Linked DNA regions of Rattus norvegicus. Each later gene encodes a partner of the first gene's protein in a complex. Links are inferred from orthologs where the notes say so. Each region holds a gene or a part of one and is shown in the gene's direction. Other genes may lie near its edges.

Region 1 (4,336 bases):
ACGTGAGATATCTAGGCAGAAGTGCTCCTTTTGTTTGCATTTGATACAGTACCTGTGGCTGGCCTAGAAAACGTTGTAGAAACTGATTTTACTTATGATAAAACAAATTAAATGTGCTCAGGGAAATTGAGTTTGTAGTGTTAATTTCATTTCCTTCCCTTCTTTTTAAAAACATTTATTTTTACTCACTTTATATCCCGTTCATTGCCCCCTTCCCCATCACCCCTTTCATCATCCTTCTCTCCTCCCCCTCCTTCCTTTTATTATGAGTTGCAAGAGGCAGGTTTGGTGGCTGCTCTGGTCTGGGATTGGTCGCCACCTCCTGCTCTTCCTTTCCATCATGAAGATCATTGCCTCAGGCCAGCCAGGTCCTACTTCTCCAGCTGGTTACTGCAAACAGTAATTGCCTGTTGTGCACCTGGAATCCAAGCCCTAGTCAGGGAGGAGGACCAGGAGGATAGCCGCAGAGGTCAAACCTGAATAGCCTCGAGATCTGTAGGAGGAGAGAACTGACTCCCCACAAGCTGCTCTGATCTCTACTTGTCTTTACATACACACACAATAACCAAACATTAAAAATAAAAACAAACAGAAGTGGGCTGGGACTATAGCTTTTTTGGTAGTGTACTTATCTGGGATCCAGGATACCCTGGGTTCCATCTCCAACACCACATAAATCTGCTGTGGTGGCACGAACCTGTGGCCACATTATCTGGAAATGAAGGGAGCCAATTCAGGAGTTCAAGGTCATCCCCATTATATCCTCATTTGAGGTTCGGTTAAAACACAAAAACGTTTTTTCTTTTAAAGATAGCTGGGCAGTATAGCTGGCCCATTTTCTATGAACGTGCCTTATTTATTTATTTATTTATTTATTTATTTATTTATTTATTTATTTTTATGCTCAAGTAACACATTAGTAGCCATCTATGGACAGAGGCCAAATCTAGCTAAGTCTTTTTATACCTTAGTTGCTGGCCTGGTAGAAATTGTTAAGAATAAGGGTAATAGAGGCTGGAGATAGCTCAGCAGTTAAGAGCATTTGCTGTTTTTGCAAAGAAAACACATTGAGTTCCCAGCACCCATATGGTGGCTCACAGCTACCTATAACTTCAGTTTGGGACGTCTGATGCCCTTTTCTGACATGTGCAGGCATGCGTGTGAGGTATAAACACATGCACACATGCATGCATGTTTATGCACAAACAAAACATACATTATTGTGTAGATAAAAATCTAATTTTAAAACCAAAGATAAGGATTTATTTGTTTTGGTTTCTTCTTGTCAATAGGAGAAGTTAAGGCTTCAAGGCCAAATCACAGAGGGAAGCAACATGATTAAAACAATTGCTTTTGGCCGCTACGAGCTGGATACTTGGTACCATTCTCCCTATCCTGAAGAATATGCACGACTGGGACGTCTCTACATGTGTGAATTCTGCTTAAAATACATGAAGAGCCAAACGATTCTCCGCCGACACATGGTGTGTTTTCTTGTTCACATCACGAGGGGATGTTACATGGTTTCCCAGTTATGTTCCAGAGATAGCATAAGTGTCCAAAAAGTGACATTTCCCAAGTGTCCACAGCAATAGGGTGGAGACTTAAGGAACTGAAAGTCACATTTCTGGGTAACCCTTTGCCCGGACCAGTGCTGCATAGCATCTTAACTACACCCTGTCCATAAACGTCTTTTCTTCTTGTTTTTTGTCTTTTGTTGTTTCTTCAGCACATTAATTACCTCTCCCTACAGTTTGTGTTTGTACCAAACTTAATGAAACGCATATATTCTGTTAGATAGAACAGGACACTGTGGCTCATATGTTAGATGGCAACTGTCTGTCTTGGGTGAATACATTTTATAAGAGATTTCCATCTTTAACAGATGATGAAAAGAACGGTTTGCATTTCTTAAAGTTCTCTGTATTAACTAGGAAAGGATGTGCATAGTTGGCTCTGGTGACTTCTGTGAGTATAGAGGTCAGGTTTGGGGAAATGCAGGCTTCTCCTCTCCATTGCTTCAGGAATAATCATGAAATGGCTTCTTTAGCTTGGCAAATGTTTCTAGACACATAACTGTTGCATTAATTTGGTTATCCTGGAAAGAACCAGCAGGAATAATGGGAGGAAATAGGAATATAGATGGAGCTTTGAAACAATTCCGGTTAATACATGCTTTAGTCCCCTGTGGTAAGTAGGACATGATATCCATGCCTTGCATACCATGTCCCTGCCACCCGGTCCCCACCATCAGCTAAGCAGGGAACACAGCCTCGCCCTTAATGGATATTGTACCACTGAGCTATATTCCTAAACCTGAAATACAGTTCTTAGAGGATGTGATGTGATTTTTGCTTTAAATAGGGTCTCTAGCTTAGGCTGGCCTCACTTGTAGTTTTCCTATCTCTTTTGCTTGAGTGCTCACATGACCAGTGCGGACCAACCACAGGTCCAGTGACACTTTATGCTTGAGTTGTCAGAGAGATGGTAGTGAATTGTTTAATAAGAAATTTTCTATATGTATAAACTTTGTGTGTGGAATGCTCATGCATGTGTGCACATGTACATACACACCATAGCACACGTGTGAAAATGAGAGAACATTGTGGGAGTCAGTCGGTTCTCTTCCACTATGGAGATTCCCAGAATTGAATCTGAGTCATGAGGCTTGGCAGCAAACGCATGTACCTGCTTTGGCTTCTCGACTGCAGGGCCCGGGCTTACTTCAGTAGTAGAGAACTTGCATTGCTGCCAAGATGGCGGGTGCTAGCTCCAGGGCCATGAATTGAACATTTTGAGAATAAGGAAAAGAGTTTGGAACCAAGTACCTTTCAGCTTCCTGCTGCTCAGCCAGGCCTCCTACCTTTTCAAATAAGCCTGGAAGGACTTCTGTTTATCTGACATATGGCAGGGGGTGGGCAGATAGCGAGCGGCTCACGATCCTCCTTGTGCAGACACATGATGAGGTAGGGTGGTAATGGGAAGAAGCGACTGGCAAAGGTGAGCAGAGCATACTTAGCAACACTAAGCTGCTTAAGAACTTCCTGTTGGCTTGCAGTATTTTATTGTAAGCAAGGATATTCTTATTCATCTAGCTTTTACGTAGTAGGTGATTTAATATCTTGGGCTGAGATAATGCCAAAAATAATCCAGAAAACTTGAGCCAAACAGCCATATGCGTCCTCAGATAGATCGCAACAGCTTAAGAAAGCTATAACTTTTCTGAAAACAATCGGGCTCACTGTCCCCAAGTGCATTCAGTCATCTGTTAACTCAGCTAACCACATTTATCCTGTGGTTCCTTTTCCCAGGAAAGGAACAGGGTGGTAGGGAAATCTTGACTGCTTCATGTGAACTCCATTCTCTTGTAGGCCAAGTGTGTGTGGAAACACCCCCCTGGTGATGAGATTTATCGCAAAGGCTCCATCTCTGTGTTTGAAGTAGATGGCAAGAAAAACAAGGTAAAAGGTGGTGATGTGAGAAAAGGAGACACAGTGGTGGGGTTCCAGAGGAAGATTTTGTCTTCGAGAGAGATAGGAATTAGTTCCATTTGTGGATAGTATTGATATGATCATTCTTTCTAGACTTCGATTTGGTTGAGAAGTCACTGGACTCCACACAAACACTCTTTCTGCTTCCAGATCTACTGCCAAAACCTCTGCCTTTTGGCGAAGCTTTTTCTGGACCATAAGACCTTATACTACGATGTAGAGCCCTTCCTGTTCTACGTTATGACAGAAGCAGACAATACTGGCTGCCACCTGATTGGATATTTTTCTAAGGTTAGCAGGATCTGGTGATTTAGAAGCTTAACCACAATGGGAGGCATCATGGGTATTGGCATTAGAGGCTCAGATCTCTGAGGAAGTGGGTGACAGTGATAGTCTTCCCATAAGCAAAATAAGAAAGGCAAACGTGTATCGTAGAAAGCTTCCTGACAGGATTCTCTTCAGGATCTTCCTCTGTTACCTGGGCTGACTGGGAGTCATGCCTTAGACTGGCATCAAATCCAGGACAGGCTTCCTGCCTTAACCTCCAAAGTGCTGGGATCACAGACATGAGCTGGGACACTTAGCTGATACTGTCACTAGAAGGTTCTGGTTTCTGTGCTTGTGGGTTAAAGCTATTAATTACTGGTCTGGACCCTTTCTGTGAATTTAAAACACATGTTGTAGTCAAGCCAATACTTCTGGCTTTGCCTTCCTCCATGTTAGGTTAAACCTGGTTCTCTGGCTAGGTTCATTTCTAGCACAGCTAGTCCCTTTACTGACAGTGTTCTTTGCTTTAAAAGGTGCAAGACCAAATTTAGCTTTGGTTTTCTTTCATTTTGTTGAGG
Region 2 (4,876 bases), on another chromosome or scaffold:
GCTTTGCGGCATATGTGCTCAGGCCTCACGGGTTCTCCTTCCATGGCTCACTGGTGTGCCTGAAGAGAATACTAGCTAAACATGAGGCCTGGCTTGGGAGTGGCTCCAGAATGAACTCACCCTTAAAGACTATTTTCCAGCAGGGCAATCGCCTTTAATCCCAGAGCTCTGGAGGCAGAGGCATGCAAATCTCTTGAGTTCAAGGCCTGTCTGGTCTACAGAGGAAGTTCAGAGATACATTGAGAGGCCTTGTATTGAAAAATAAAACAACAACAAAACAACTACTTTCCAGCCCATAGTTTGGCTACAATGGGATATGAGAGTTGGCCAGCGGAAAGCTCATGGGGCTCCAGCCCCGACCTGGCATGGATGCATAACCGAGCAGACTGCTTTGTTCCAGTAACTGGTGGTATAGCCTGAGCAGGGAGCCTGCCCTGCCTGTCCTGTGGGGGAAGCAGCTCCGCTCCTGAGGGAAAGCTTTGTCCTGAATGTCACAGGCACACGACATCTGACACAAGACTTCCAAGGCAACCAAAGAGCCACCTAGTCTTCACCCACATTTCGAAATATTTAGAGATTAATCTCATAATTAACATTCTCAAGAAGCCACTAACTTTTTAAACTAAAGACTAAAGTAGAAGGAATGAGCTGGAGAGTGGGACCAGTCCAAGTCATAGGGCCCTGATCTTGAAACCTTCAAGGCTGGGCAGCAGAAGTTTTTAACCTGTGAGCCACGACCCCTTTAGTGGTCCTGCATATCAGATATTTACATCCATAACAGCAGCAAATGATAGTTATGAAGTAGAAATGAAATAACTTTATGGCTGGGGGGGGGGTCACCACAACATTGGTCAACAGTAGTAGGAAGGCTGAGAACTGCTGCTCTATAGTGTTACCAGGTCCTAGGTAGACATCAATGCTTAATCACCTCTACTAGGGCAGTGCTTGTAAGAGGAAGGCCTAAGTCACATGCGTGGCAGCCCATGCTTTTAGGGAGGCAGGTCTCTGTCTACATAGTGAGTTCCAGACAGCCAGAAATACTTAGTCTCAAAACAACAAAACCAAAAGCCAACCAACAACCAAACAAAAAAAGAGGGCATGCCCCCTGGCTGCCCCATAGTTTCTGAGAGCTCCAGTACTTGTCACAGTAACTAGCTAGCCATCCTCAGTTCCTTTCCATACCCTCTCCTACCCAACCACTGACCTCATCTTGTGCCATTTTTAGTGCCTTTCTATGCCACCTTAGGGTTCCCATCCTTGTCATTTATTCCTCAGAGGGATCTACCCTTGTTTGATGACCCTTCATCAGAGCCCTTATTTCCATTCCCTCTTAACTCATCCTTCATGAACTCCTCTTACCCCCCTTAGGATGCACCTCTTGATTCTCTCAAGAACCAGTCCCTTAAAAATCACGCACTCAGGAAACTCCGCCTGGCTCCTTAGGGTCAACATTCTGGCTCTACTCACTGCTACTGACCCCACAGTAAACATCATCTGGTTACCCTACTCTTACAGCAGTCCTTTACTCCTCAGGAGCCCTATCCTGTCTCCCCCAGAACTCTCCTCCTAGTCACCCCACTCTTGCAGCACTCCTCCCATCCCCCGCTCCGGATCCCCACCCTAACTCCCTGAGAGCCACCCTTCCTGGTCACCCCACTCTCTCCTTCGCGTCCCGCCCCGCCCCCTTATCCCGGCTTGGTGCGGCGCGCGTCATGGCGGCGGCGGGCGGGGCGCGTCTCGCACGCAGCGCGCCGGGCGGAGCGCTCGCCGCATTGTTTGCTTCGCTGGGGAGCGAGCAGCGCCTCGGCAGGCGTCCGAGCAGCTCCGCGTTCGCGTCCTCCGCCCGGCCGGGCCCCGAGCCGGCCTTAGCCGGCTGTGCCGGCGCCGCCGACCCCGCCCGAGCCGTGGCGCCCTGCGGGTCCGGAGCCGCTGGCCGAGCGCGCCCCGGAGCCCGGCGGGGCACGGCTGCGCGGCCGTTGGCGGAGGAGCCGCGGCGCCATTAGCGCCGCCTCGGCCGCGCCGGCCCCCGCGCCCGCCCGCCCGCCGGGCTCCCGCGGCCGCGGCGCCCCGAAGGTGAGTGTCTGACGGTCGCCGTTCGCCGCCCGCCTCGCCGGCCGGGGCGGAGGTGCAGGCGCCATGTTTAGAGGCGGCAGCGGCGGCTCCGCATTGTCCGCGGGCGGGGAGGCCGGAGAGTCGGGGCGGCGAGGCCCGGAGGCCGTGAGGCCTGGTGGGCGCGGGAGCCGGAGGAACTGAGAAGGCCGAGCGGGCGAGTGCCGCCGTGAGCCGGCGCGGCCGGGGACGCCGAGATGGGTGCCGGCGGCTTGCCCGAGAGGCCGGGTCTGGGAGGCGAGGCCGCGGCGAAATCGCGGAGGCGGAGGCCGCAGCCGGGTGGGGGCGGAGAGGGACACGGAGGCCGCGGCGGGGTCGGGGAGACAGAGGAGTAGAAGGAGGCCGCCGCGGCGCGGGAGGGGCGGCCAAGAGAATGGAGCGGGCGGCAGGTTTCAGGAGGCGGGGAAGCCGCCGGGCCGGGCGGGCTCTGGGCGGCCCGGCTGTCTGTGCAGCTGGGGCAACTGCGGGGACGGGCGTCGGACAGCGGAGGAGGCGGAAGGCCTGGGGTCTCGTGGCGTCTGCCCACGTCCTCGCCTGTAGCCTTGGCGGTGCGGAGCCGGTCGCATTATGTAACAGATAGGTCCGATCTATTTTGCCAAGACAGGAAACTCCCTTGAAGAGGGACGGGCTCGGAAGATTTCCTAAGTCGAGCGGGGCCTGGTATCTCCGGAGTAAGCCCGCAGCTCCGCCAAACTCCGTGGATGTGTGCAGGAAACGCCGAGAAACGAACGCGCGTGCGCGGCTTTCTTGGGCCTTTAGGAGAGAAGCAACTTTCCTATGCTTAATTTGCAGAAAACACTGCTCCTCATCGTGCACTGCAGTTGTGACACACTTACACACACCTAGGAAACCGCCCCCTTAATGGAGGACATTCACTTCACCCAGCCGCGACTGTTTTAGAGTATCTGTCATCTGGTAACACATAGTTACAGAATTTTGATATTATTTAGTTACTGTTTTATCACTTGTTGGATCTAGCACTGTTCTGAGTCTGTGTTTACTCCTCAGATTGTCACTTTAGAGTAAGTGTCTTTCCTGTGTGCTTTCACAGTGAGGGGTAGAAGCTGGAAGAGTTTAAATGGCTTGTCTACAAACCAGGCAGGAAATGAACTGAGCTGATTTTGAGCAGAGTCTTTCCCTCTTTCTGCTAACAAAGCTTTTTAGGATGCGTTTAGCACAGTTATTTCTGGAGAACCATGCTTATTGCCTTTGCTGATTCTTTCATGGAAATGCTCATTCCTGCATAGAGCCAGAGGGTCAAAGTGCTGGGTGTATGAAAATGAGGAAGCAGATGAGATTGTTGGTCACTGCTGGGCAGTGCCTCTAAATGCCCTCTTTCCCCCGGTCACAATTACATTTTCAAATTACAGAGTAGCTGTGGCCATTAAGTATTAGGTTCAGTTCTTGTAGAAAAGTGGTTTAAAGACCTTCAGTGCTCACTAGGAGAATGTGGGGTTTGACAGGCTGGTTACAGTACTTTACTGTAGAGGAGAAAATTACATGTTTGTTTTTAATCTGGGAGCTGTTGCTTCTGCCTGCCTCAGTAGTAAATTGTGAAGCATCCGAGGTGAACTGTGGTTCTTTCTGTGCAGAATATGGTGCTGACACCTGGATTTGCACCTATCTCATCTCAGGGATGTTGCTAGAGGCCTAGGGCTGGCTAGGGCTGCTTTGATGACAGCTCCCTTAGAATCCTTTGCTGAGCAGGCACCTGGAAGCTCCTCAGATGCAGGTGCATTGGGGTCTGCTGTTCTTGTTCATAGAGCGATAGTATCTACAGAATGTGGGTTTCTGCAATCTGCAAGGTCTGTCTTTAAAAATGCGTATAAGATTTGCAGAGATTTCCTTTTGGGATTTAAAACATGAAGTCTGCTCTTGGAGGGCTTTTCTCAGAGACTAGTAAGATAAGTATGAGCTGAGAATTCGGGGTTCCTGGAGAGCCCTGCTTGTGGGCTATTCTGACATTTCAACTTGGTATATTTTGGGAGTCAGTCTTTATCTACTTGTCAGTTGAGTGGGCTTGTTCAGTGGGAGGCATGAGTGGTCCTGGCCCTTGTTACTCCATGTGTTCATTCTGCTTGACTAGTGGTCCAGAGTGGGCACGTCTGCACATAAGATCTGCATCGGAGAAAACTAAAAGTGAGGAGTCCACTACAAGGAGTGGGAGTGTAGGCTGTTAGCTCCCTGGTTTTGTTCATACTGGAAATGAACACATCTCTGAAGTTTTCAGGCATGTGAACCAGTGATAAGGGGTGGGGTGGGGGGCTCTGCAGGCTGTGGTCTGAGGGAAACCATCCTTTTTTTGGGGGGCAAGAGCTGAGCACTTTCAAGTGTATCAGGAGGAGAGCAGAAGTGCCACTTGATACCTTGCCCTCAGCTAGGCGTACTTGGAGAGTATGTGGCCCAGCCCACAGCCAGGTCCTGGCCTGAGTGAAAGGGAAAGGCTGGTGCTGCCACGGCAGCTTCCAGGGTGGTCACTGCTGAGGCGTCCTAAAAGCTCCATTGGGCTCTTGGGGCAAAGATCTCCCACAGACCAGCACAGCGTTCCCTTCAAGTCCTGTATGGGATGTTTGTGGAAAGAATGGACTACTTTATGCTGTTGAGTTATGGATGCTTCTGGCCCCCAGCACAAAGTTCCCAGGAGCACTCTGCTGGGCAGTAGTGAGAAAGAAAGACCTAAGGGATTGCTAAGAGTAGGTGGCCACAGGCCATAGTCTCTGTTGTGAAGTCTGTCAGTAAAACAGTCTGACTTGTGGGCAAGAGGCCA
Region 3 (4,336 bases), about 44 Mb from region 1:
CAGAGGGAGGGGCTGTGTGGAGAGCTCGGGTTGGACCTAGCAGAATTTAGGTGACAGAACATAGGAAAAAAGGGTCTGTTAGGTTCCCATGAAGACTCAGACAGTGTCTCAGTTAGGGTTTTAATGCTGGGAACAGACACCATGACCAAGGCAACTCTTAATACGGACAACGTTTAATTGGGGCTGGCTTACAGGTTCAGAAGTTCAGTCCATTATCATCAAGGTGGGAGCATGGCAGCATCCAGGCAGGCATGGTGCAGGAGGAGCTGAGAGTTCTACATCTTCATCTGAAGGCTGACAAGAGAATCCTGGCTTCCAGGCAGCTAGGGTGAGGGTCTTATAGCCCAGACCCACAGTGACACACCTACTCCAACAAGGCCATACCTAATAGTGCCACTCCCTGGGCCAAGCATATTCAAACCCTCACAGACAGGTCTAGGAATAACTTGGAACATTGTCTGCGAACCTGGTCATAGGTCTGGTCTTCAACTCTGAGGCACTGGGACATTCAGGAGGGACAATTTGAGGTCCAGACCTTAGTCAAGCAAAGGGGTTGGGGTGGGGGCTGAGTCTCAGATTATGGAATCTATCAAAACAAAGTTCTGGTTAAAATCAGAATGAAGCCAACCTTGGTAACATACGCCTGCAGATCCAGCACTTGGGAGATGGGAGTAGAAGATCAGGAGTTCAAGGCCATCATCCACTTGAATTTGATGCTAGCCTGGGCTACATGATAACCCTGTCACAAAACCAAGCGAAAGGGCAGCTGATCCCCTAGTGCAGTAGGAAGTTGGATAATGGGCCTGCTCCTGTGGCTGCAGAGGTAGCCTGTGACTTGGAGGGGCCGTGGACAGCAGGCTGGGTCCATGGTAGCCATCTTCACTAAGGCTTTGTGGTCAGTTCTTCTATATTGAGATGCCTGTCCAGGGCTGTCCATGCCTAGAAGCAGGCTAGGAGACCCTGTCAGCACGTGACTCTTTCCTTCCTGGTTCCTTATCCAGAGGTTCCTACTGGGGTCCACTTGCCTTTTTTTTTTTTTTTTTGGTTCTTTTTTTTTTCCGGAGCTGGGGACCGAACCCAAGGCCTTGCGCTTCCTAGGCAAGCGCTCTACCACTGAGCTAAATCCCCATCCCCCCACCTTGCCATTTCTGGGGTAGGGGTTATTTGTGTCAGATTTTCATCTTGAAGGCCAGGACTGCTTTTCGGTGCCCTTTCTCCTGGTTATGGCAGAGAGACTGACCTCTTGAGGACCCCATGCTTGAGGGCCAGCCAGGTGGCTCAGCAGGAAAGATCTTTGCTGCCAACCCTGACAAACTGAGCTCCGTCCCCAGGACCTACGCAGTGGCAGGGAAACTTACTCCTGCAAGTTGTCCTCTACCTCCACACCTATGCCGTGGCATACATGAACGTACACATGTACACATGCACCTGCATGTCTCAAAGTCTACAGTCCCGGGTACATGCTTCTCCTAGCCAGCCACATTCGCATACATGCACACTCTGGGCCTGGTTCCAAGTGAACAGGTACGTGATTGGGCCAGGATTGGGAACTCAGACCTTCAGCTCTGTAAGTGTGAAGACAGAGAGGACTTAGGACTTGTGAGTTGAATCCACAACTCCGTCTGCTCACTATCTGGCTATGAGTGACTGGATCCCACCTGGGGACTGATGCAGCTCTCTGTATTCTGCCCAGGTCAGCATTGGCTGTCCAGAGAAGATGGAGCCCATTACCAAGATCTCACATATTCCCGCCAGCCGCTGGGCCCTGTCCTGCAGCCTCTGCAAGGAGTGCACGGGAACCTGCATCCAGGTATGTGGCCTGCTTCCTTCTGTTACCCGGAACTGCCGTGTTACCAGACAGAAGCACCGAGGTACCTGAAATACCAGTTCTTACCACCACCTAGCCCCTGTGGCTACACCACTGATGGACCCTAGAGGCTTAGGACAACAAGGTCCACCTGTGTACTTCACCCACATTCAATTGTCCCCAGGCTTCCAAGGAATGGGGACAGACCCCACCCGTGGAATACTAAGAACTTGGCTTTCCCCACCAGAGCAAGTGTCCCTGGGCTCGATGATTCATTGGCTTTTTAGACTGGAACCCTGACATGTGAGAGGAATAGAAATCTGAATTCCTCTCCAGCTCAGCAGATGTGCCTTCCTGACCTAATACAGGGGCTTACTGGTCTACCTGTGATGGCGGCTCCCATCTTGGTGATCATCAGGATCACCTGAGGCATTGAAACCACAAGAAGCTGTAAGCTCTAGTGGCTCTGATTCAGACATGAAGGGGGGGTGAACTTCCTTTCTTTCACAAAGCAGGGTTTGCCAGTATGGCTTCTGGTCTGTGCTGTGGGGTAGAAGCTCTCCTTGGTCCCTCTCATCTCCCCAAGAACACAGTCATCCTTGCAAATGTGCCTCCACCCCATTTATTAGACCTCCAGAAGGGTTCTGGACAAGGTGGCGATGGTACCCGATGTTGGGTACACTGTTGATGAACAGGTTCCAGTGGTCCAGTCCCCATCGAGGGCTGGGAGGAATGGTCAGAGCCTTTACCTGCTTCGATAAGAGAAGGTGGAGATCCAGGTGCTCTCAGAGAGTAGCACCAGGACAGACTCCTGGCTTGGATGACAGTTGCAATAGAGGAGACTGTGACCCTCTTCAGGCGTTTACCCCTGTCCTCTAATCCCAAAGTCACTTGCCCACAGGACAGTGCTTCTTGTCCCCACAAAGGGGACATTACCTTCTGATTCTTGGCTCCTTCAGTATGTTTGGAATTCGCTGTCACCTCTCCAGGTGCCCCAGGGCTCCTGTTTCTCCTTTAATGTTGGAGCCTGTGCCATTTTACATAGTGTCTCCCCAGCACTGTGTGTGTTCCTCGGTGCTTAGACCCCCCCCCCCCCGCCCGCCCGCGCCCAGCGCTCCTTTAATGCCTGACGCGCCCTTCCCTTCTCTCCAGTGTTCCACGCCTTCCTGCCTCACAGCATTCCACGTTACCTGCGCCTTCGACCGAGGCCTGGAAATGCGGACTATATTAGCCGACAATGACGAGGTCAAGTTCAAGTCACTTTGCCAGGAGCACAGTGATGGGGGCCCTCGAAGTGAGCCTAGTTCTGAGCCTGTGGAGCCCAGCCAGGCCGTTGAGGATCTGGAAAAGGTGACCCTACGCAAGCAGCGGCTGCAGCAGCTGGAAGAAAACTTCTATGAGCTGGTGGAGCCAGCTGAGGTGGCTGAACGGCTAGACCTGGCTGAGGCACTGGTGGACTTCATCTACCAGTACTGGAAGCTGAAGAGGAGAGCTAATGCCAACCAGCCACTGCTGACGCCCAAGACTGACGAGGTGGACAACCTGGCCCAGCAGGAGCAGGATGTCCTTTATCGACGCCTGAAGCTTTTCACCCACCTGCGGCAGGACCTGGAGAGGGTAAGTAGCCCTGGTGGGGTGGGTGGAAGGGACAGCCAAGAGGAGGGGGAGGGTAAAGGCTAACAGGATTAGAAGGCACAATGGGAGGAGAGATACTCATACTCAGTCTTTGAGTCTCTCTTGTTCCAGCCATTTCAGAGGTCTTGGTGAAGGTGACCTGTGGAGACAGGAGTCAAGGCTACTGGAGCCCACTTGCCTGCAGTTTCCCTTCTGACCTTTATAGATGGTGACTGAGACTAAAGGAGCCAATGTTACCCAAAATACCTCTGTCCTGACATATTAAGAATAGGGGTTGGGGGGGTTGGGGATTTAGCTCAGTGGTAGAGCGCTTGCTAGGCGCAAGGCCCTGGGTTCGGTCCCCAGCTCCAGAAAAAAAAAAAAAAAAGAAGTAGGGATTGGGATTGTGGGGTTATCTAGTTACCAGGCATGCTTGTGCTGGCCAGAACTGGGTAGGCAGGGGTGAGTGGTGCAGGATGTGATTCCCATAGGCTGCCAGGCAGGCAGAGAACAGGGATCGGGTCAGATGACACACACCAGACAGACATTGCCCCACAGAGGCGTTCCCAGGCCTGGCCTGGGTGACCAAGCCACATACACTTTCATCTTTGTTTTAGGAATCGGGGACAGAACTGTGGCTTGTTCTCTGGTGGTCTGTGTGGGGCTGAGGAAGGTGAACGTGTCTAGATCATAGACCAGTCCTCTGAACCCAGGAGCCGCTCCGTCATCTCCTTTCTGAGCGTTGAATTCTAGAGTTCAGAGAATTGTAGGATCATGTCGGTATCCTTCACAGACCCAGTGGACGTGTCATCCCTTCTGGGGCTGTGTTAAACAGTCCTGATTGGAGGCCTCAGAGGGTCTTTGGAATTGGCTGCTCTTTTTTGCATCTGGGCCTCAGTGAGCCGGTCTGTAAAA
Region 4 (5,130 bases), on another chromosome or scaffold:
GTTTTGGTGGAATCTGGCTTTAAATTACACCGGGTAACCAGCGTTCATTGGGTGGGATCTCCAGTGAGTGTCCTTAATGGTGGTATGTGAAGATATGCTTAAGAGTTTATCTCTCTGTGCAGCCCTAGGACGTACGTACCTAGTAGGGATTTCACAAGAAACTTGTTTGGCCACCCCACTGGCGTTCTGAGTCAAAGGAAATCCATCTTTGGAGATGTGCACAAGGGTCGACCCTTGCTTGTGAGAGGCACTTAACTGTGAAGCTAAGGATGAGATCCACACCCTTCACCGCCACAGTTTGATTGTATAAGAAATCAAAACCATAGTGACAGATTTCAGTGTCCTAAAGGGAAAGGTGACCTCATTCCCTGCATTCAGTCAGATAAAGATAACTGCTACTCTCAAAACTCCGAAAAGTAATGAAAAAAAAAATAGGTAGAAACTGGTTGCACAACATCGTTGCCTAGTTAACCCTAGCCACAATCCTCTTTCCCAGAGTGCTTCTCTTAAATACCTTGCCTGCAGCCACTTCTAGTCAGCCCTGGGGGGTGGAAAATAGGGCGGGGAGAAGAGCAGAGTGCACTTTGTTTTTTATTTAGTTTAATATTTCTATAATATCTGTAATAGTAGGAATGTAGAGCCTAGCCTTTGTACATTTAAATAGTGACGTTCTTACACATTATGTGATGATTCTGGATAAGTAAAAATAGATTTTTTCTTTTTTGTTTAACTTTAAGAGTATTCTACTTCTATAACTAACATTTTCTTTTTTATTTTAGACGAGCTCTGACTTCAAATACTTAAATTATCAGAGGATAAACTCTCACATCAAGGATTACAGAAATTGGAGAGGGAGGATGCTGTTCATATTAAATTGAAGAGTACCCCAGTTCACATTAAGCTCTCAACATTAGTTATTGTCATCTTTCCTGTCACATGTGTTTTTTACACCTCTGTTCACTAGAGAAGAGCTCTTATTCCAATACTGTTGCTTTAAAATATTTTAAAATACAATACTGTTCCTCAAAGGTTTTTTTTTTGTCAGCAACTTCTGGAATAATACAGGTTATGGTGTTCTAACTTCAGGATCCACACTCTTCTTTTCTGAGTCAAGCCATGGCACTGAGATATGAATCTTGGTCATCGGCAGTTAAAAATAAAGTACCTAGGAATGACTTGGAGACTGTTTTCAGGACACACAAGATTTTGGAACACTTGTGAACCACTTTCTTGCCTGTAGAGGAGATTCTCAGTATCATCACAGCTAATGATTCAGGGGCAGTTATCATACCTAAGACATAGTAAAAGCTAAAGTACAAGGTTGTTGAAGACATAGGTTTTGTTTGGCCATTTCCTTTGATACTGCTTGTTTTACCCCTTTCTCGTGTTCTACAAACCATAACAAATGTTTGTCCTCTAAGCTATACAAAGCCATCCCTGTTTTTTTTTTTTAAACTTTGAGGTCTAACTGAAACTAGTCACTTATTTTGAGAGTGGTAAGGGAATCAGGAGATACCAGGTTTTATGGAGATGTGACATTAGAGAGATCTTAGAAGCTTTGATCAAGGATACAGAGAGAGGCTAAAAATGAGATTGAATATTATCATGGGATATAATGTACATACCTCTTCATGGAGCTTACAAAAAAACAAGAGCTGAAGAAAATAGAACTGATATGCTGATTTATATTAAGATAATCTCTCATTAGGGTATAATTTACTGTGATCTTTACTTGCCTCATTTTTCTAGATGAGAGGTGGCTGTTGGGTGATACCCATCTGGCTCTATCTTAGCCATAATTTTTGGTGTTGAAAATTGAACCCACAGCTTTGCACATGCTAAGCAAGCATTCTACCACTGAGCTACCCCTTACCCAGATACCTTTATGAAGTGGGGACATTTGACTCATTAACAAGTTTGGATTCTAGTTACTGTGGCTAAGAAAATTAAAGCATTTTCATCTTTATACAGGTTTGTGGGGTGGGGAGAATCTAGAATGAATGGTTAGAAGTAATGAATGAATAAGAGGGTGCTAGCAGGTGATCATTGCAGACCCAGTTTACTGCTTTAAGTTTTTGTCTTTGTGACTCTCCCATGATCTGTTTTGTGTCCTCTCTGTAGGTCTTCCCATAGACAGCAAAAGCAAGGCTCCTATAATCAAAAGTGCCTCTGTGCTGAGTCTTTGGGAAAAACTTGCCTAATCCAATCTGCCAGACTTGGGAAGGGAAGGTAAGAACTCAAAGTGCTGTTTTTCTGAACATGAGGATGTGCGTGTTCTTGTGGGTACCTAGGAGTCTTGATTTGCCCTGAAGAAAATGAATCTGGCAAGAAGAAGTTATAGGGGCCGGAGAGATGGCTCAGTGGTTAAAAGCATTGGCTGCTCTTCTGGAGGTCCTGAGTTTAATTCCCAGCACTCACATGGTGGCACTCAACTATCTGTAATGAGATCTGATTCCTTCTTCTTGTGCGCATGAAGACAGAGCACTCATATATGTAAAATAAATAACTCTTTAAAAACACAGTATGATAAAAAATATTTCTAAGGTAAAAAAGAAGTTATATTGGGACTTTGGCCAATAGGAAACATCTGTGATATCATGGGTACCCTTCAAGCTATAAATAATTTTTCTCTTCTAACTCAGAAGCTGTGGCTATGCCCCACTATCCAAAGAGAACATTTTCCTCTGATACCTGTTGATAGGCAAAGATACCTAAGCCAGTGTGGGGTTTTTTGTTGTGTTGTTTTAAGACAGGTTTTTTTTTTAAGATTTATTTATTTTATGTATGAGTACACTATAGCTGTCTTCAGACACACCAGAAGAGGGCATCAGATCCCATTACAGATGGTTGTGAGCCACCATGTGGTTGCTGGGAATTGAACTCAGGACCTCTGGAAGATCAGTCAGTGTCCTTAACCACTGAGCCATCTCCCCAGCCCTTGGAACAAGGTTTTATTTTGTAGGCCAGACTAGCTTTCCAACTCACTATCCTCCTGCCTCAGCCTCTTGAGCTCTAGAATTATAAGGCATGAGCTATGCTTGGCTGGAATGTTGTTTTTGAACTAGCTAACAAAAGAATGTGATATCAGCTTGGTCTGTACACTGGACCCTCTGTTGAAATCTTCTGGGAAACTTGCTGGTATTATTCTTTTCTAGATTTTGAAAATTTAATTTTGATAAAATATTATAATTTTCAAAAATATTGCAAGATTGGTATAAAACCTCACTGTATTCCCTTTATCCAAGGTCATGAGTTATCAGCAGTTTGTTTTCATTCACTCTTTCTGTTTCTTTTTACAAATCATTTGAGCATAAACAGTGAGAGTGCTGTTTGTCAAGGCCGTCCTGTTGTGAAGAGTGTCTCAGATGAAACCACTGGTAGTGTAAGGCAGGGCCCCAGACGTAAAGTCCCTGTGTAGCTACCAAGCATATGTTTGTAAATCTAGTAGAATCTCTGATGTTAGGTAGAGAACTCATGACCAATTGTAAAAGTATTTAAGATAACCTTTCCCTTTCACCGTTCTTGTCATGTTTTCTTTCCTGTGTCAAGTTTTAATTCCACGAAACACTTAAGTTTTGTGGCCATTAATAAAGCCACCATTTAATTCATTCAGCAAACATACTGAGTGCTTTCTATTTACTGGGGTGTAAAAGGTAAAAGATACTCATCCCCTTAAGAGTTTAATGTCCAGTGGAAAGAATGTAAGGAATCTTCTCCCAGGAGGAGGAATGCTCTGCTGATGGGAACAGAGGACTTGTTGAGGAGCTAAAGAGAGACATCTAGGAGCCACTTAACTGGATGCAACTGAACATACCCATCTCTAAGGCCTTTGACTCTTAGATGACAAGGTTCATGAGTTAGGAATCCTTTGAGGTCATATATCCACCACAGGCAATGGAATCAGGCAAACTTGGACTCAAATTCTGGCTCTTCCACTTGATGTTGGCTACTTTACTTCTCTATGCCTGAGTTTCTTCATGTGCCAAGTCATATTTCTAAGGATGGTAGTGAGGATTTAGTTGAAGTAATAGTTGTTCTATAAACATTCATTTCATCTCCTCTTACAAAAAATACACTATGTTGGGAGTAACATAAAAATATTAAGTATTAAGGTAGAATCCAAGCAGAAATTTCAAATTTTTTTTAACAGATAAATATCTTATTGTTAGTTGTGCTAGGAAAGATGATGGGAGTTACCTTACAGGATAGTAAATATAACAGCAACCGTGATAGCTCTCTGAGCAGAGGATATCTCTTAGAGTTGTGAATCTTGAAATGGTGAAGCAGAGTCAACTTGCCCAAGGACACACACACACACACACAGAGAGAGAGACAGAGACACAGACACACACACACACACACACAGAGAGAGAGAGAGAGAGAGAGAGAGAGAGAGAGAAAATTAATTCCTCTGTGACTGACCAATGGAGTGCCCTTGGAACCTCAAGAATAAATCATAATAAGCAAGGTAAAATGAAGAGCGAAAGATTGTCAGGTGGAGGAAATAACAGGTAGTGACAGTACTGAGGTGGAGCAGGAATAAAGGATTCACAGAGGTTTGGATACATTGGGAAAAGAGAGATGAGGTAGGCAGAAGATTGATAGACTTTATGGAACCTCATTAAGGAGCTTGTGCTTTATTTTAAAGAGAAGCATAGTCTACTCGAAGGTATTAAGCCTTTCCTAAACTGTATGTGTGAGTACTTAGAAAAGTATTCAGTGGTTCCTAAAAAGGCCTTGTCATTTCTTCAGTGTTCCATATTGCATTCCAATATAAGCTATGTTTCTGTATAAAACCTATGCCAAAATGTAGGTAGGTAACTTGGACTGTCTCTGTGAATGTTGTAAGAAGAGTTGCCATGCTAAAAAGAAGGTTGCACTTCAGAATGCTGGTAGAAAGAAGTTTAATTAGTTTCATATCTTTTTTTTTTCTTTTCTTTTTTTCGGAGCTGGGGACCGAACCCAGGGCCTTGCGCTTGCTAGGCAAGCGCTCTACCACTGAGCTAAATCCCCAACCCCGTTTCATATCTTTTTTATTTATTTATTTTTTACACTCCAGATTTTATTCCCCTCCTGGTCTACTCTCTGACTGTTCCACATCCCATACCTCCTCCTCGCCCCCGCCCAGTC

What was found.
Region 2: the proteins of Kat7 (region 1) and Brd1 are in contact, whole or in part, in a crystal structure (PDB 5GK9), measured with the Homo sapiens proteins. The link is inferred for Rattus norvegicus from reciprocal best matches to the Homo sapiens genes KAT7 and BRD1. Residues at the interface, in NP_008998.1 of Homo sapiens: Leu531, Phe534, Gly536, Lys537, Glu538, Ile539, Ser540, Ile541, Lys542, Pro552, Val553, Val556, Gln560, Leu565, Tyr567, Lys571, His572, Leu573, Val574, Leu575, Lys576; in XP_047297239.1 of Homo sapiens: Val40, Ile42, Glu43, Ile44, His49, Arg50, Ile51, Ser52, Ile53, Phe54, Asp55, Pro56, Leu57, Glu58, Ile59, Ile60, Leu61.
Region 3: Kat7 (region 1) and Jade2 share a complex: the UniProt entries of both Homo sapiens proteins name them as parts of the HBO1 complex. The link is inferred for Rattus norvegicus from reciprocal best matches to the Homo sapiens genes KAT7 and JADE2.
Region 4: Kat7 (region 1) and Jade3 share a complex: the UniProt entries of both Homo sapiens proteins name them as parts of the HBO1 complex. The link is inferred for Rattus norvegicus from reciprocal best matches to the Homo sapiens genes KAT7 and JADE3.

Annotation. Positions count from the first base shown.
Region 1 is NC_086028.1:80,724,387-80,728,722, reverse strand, and holds part of Kat7 (histone acetyltransferase KAT7), read left to right. Parts: intron 1-1,292; coding exon 1,293-1,484; intron 1,485-3,371; coding exon 3,372-3,461; intron 3,462-3,641; coding exon 3,642-3,782; intron 3,783-4,336. UniProt on the Homo sapiens protein: Catalytic subunit of histone acetyltransferase HBO1 complexes, which specifically mediate acetylation of histone H3 at 'Lys-14' (H3K14ac), thereby regulating various processes, such as gene transcription, protein ubiquitination, immune regulation, stem cell pluripotent and self-renewal maintenance and embryonic development.
Region 2 is NC_086025.1:121,698,594-121,703,469, reverse strand, and holds the start of Brd1 (bromodomain-containing protein 1), read left to right. Parts: upstream 1-1,769; 5' UTR 1,770-2,073; intron 2,074-4,876. UniProt on the Homo sapiens protein: Scaffold subunit of various histone acetyltransferase (HAT) complexes, such as the MOZ/MORF and HBO1 complexes, that acts as a regulator of hematopoiesis.
Region 3 is NC_086028.1:36,588,752-36,593,087, reverse strand, and holds part of Jade2 (E3 ubiquitin-protein ligase Jade-2), read left to right. Parts: intron 1-1,693; coding exon 1,694-1,810; intron 1,811-2,959; coding exon 2,960-3,424; intron 3,425-4,336. UniProt on the Homo sapiens protein: Scaffold subunit of some HBO1 complexes, which have a histone H4 acetyltransferase activity. Acts as an E3 ubiquitin-protein ligase mediating the ubiquitination and subsequent proteasomal degradation of target protein histone demethylase KDM1A.
Region 4 is NC_086039.1:4,395,617-4,400,746, reverse strand, and holds the start of Jade3 (protein Jade-3), read left to right. Parts: upstream 1-2,119; 5' UTR 2,120-2,229; intron 2,230-5,130. UniProt on the Homo sapiens protein: Scaffold subunit of some HBO1 complexes, which have a histone H4 acetyltransferase activity.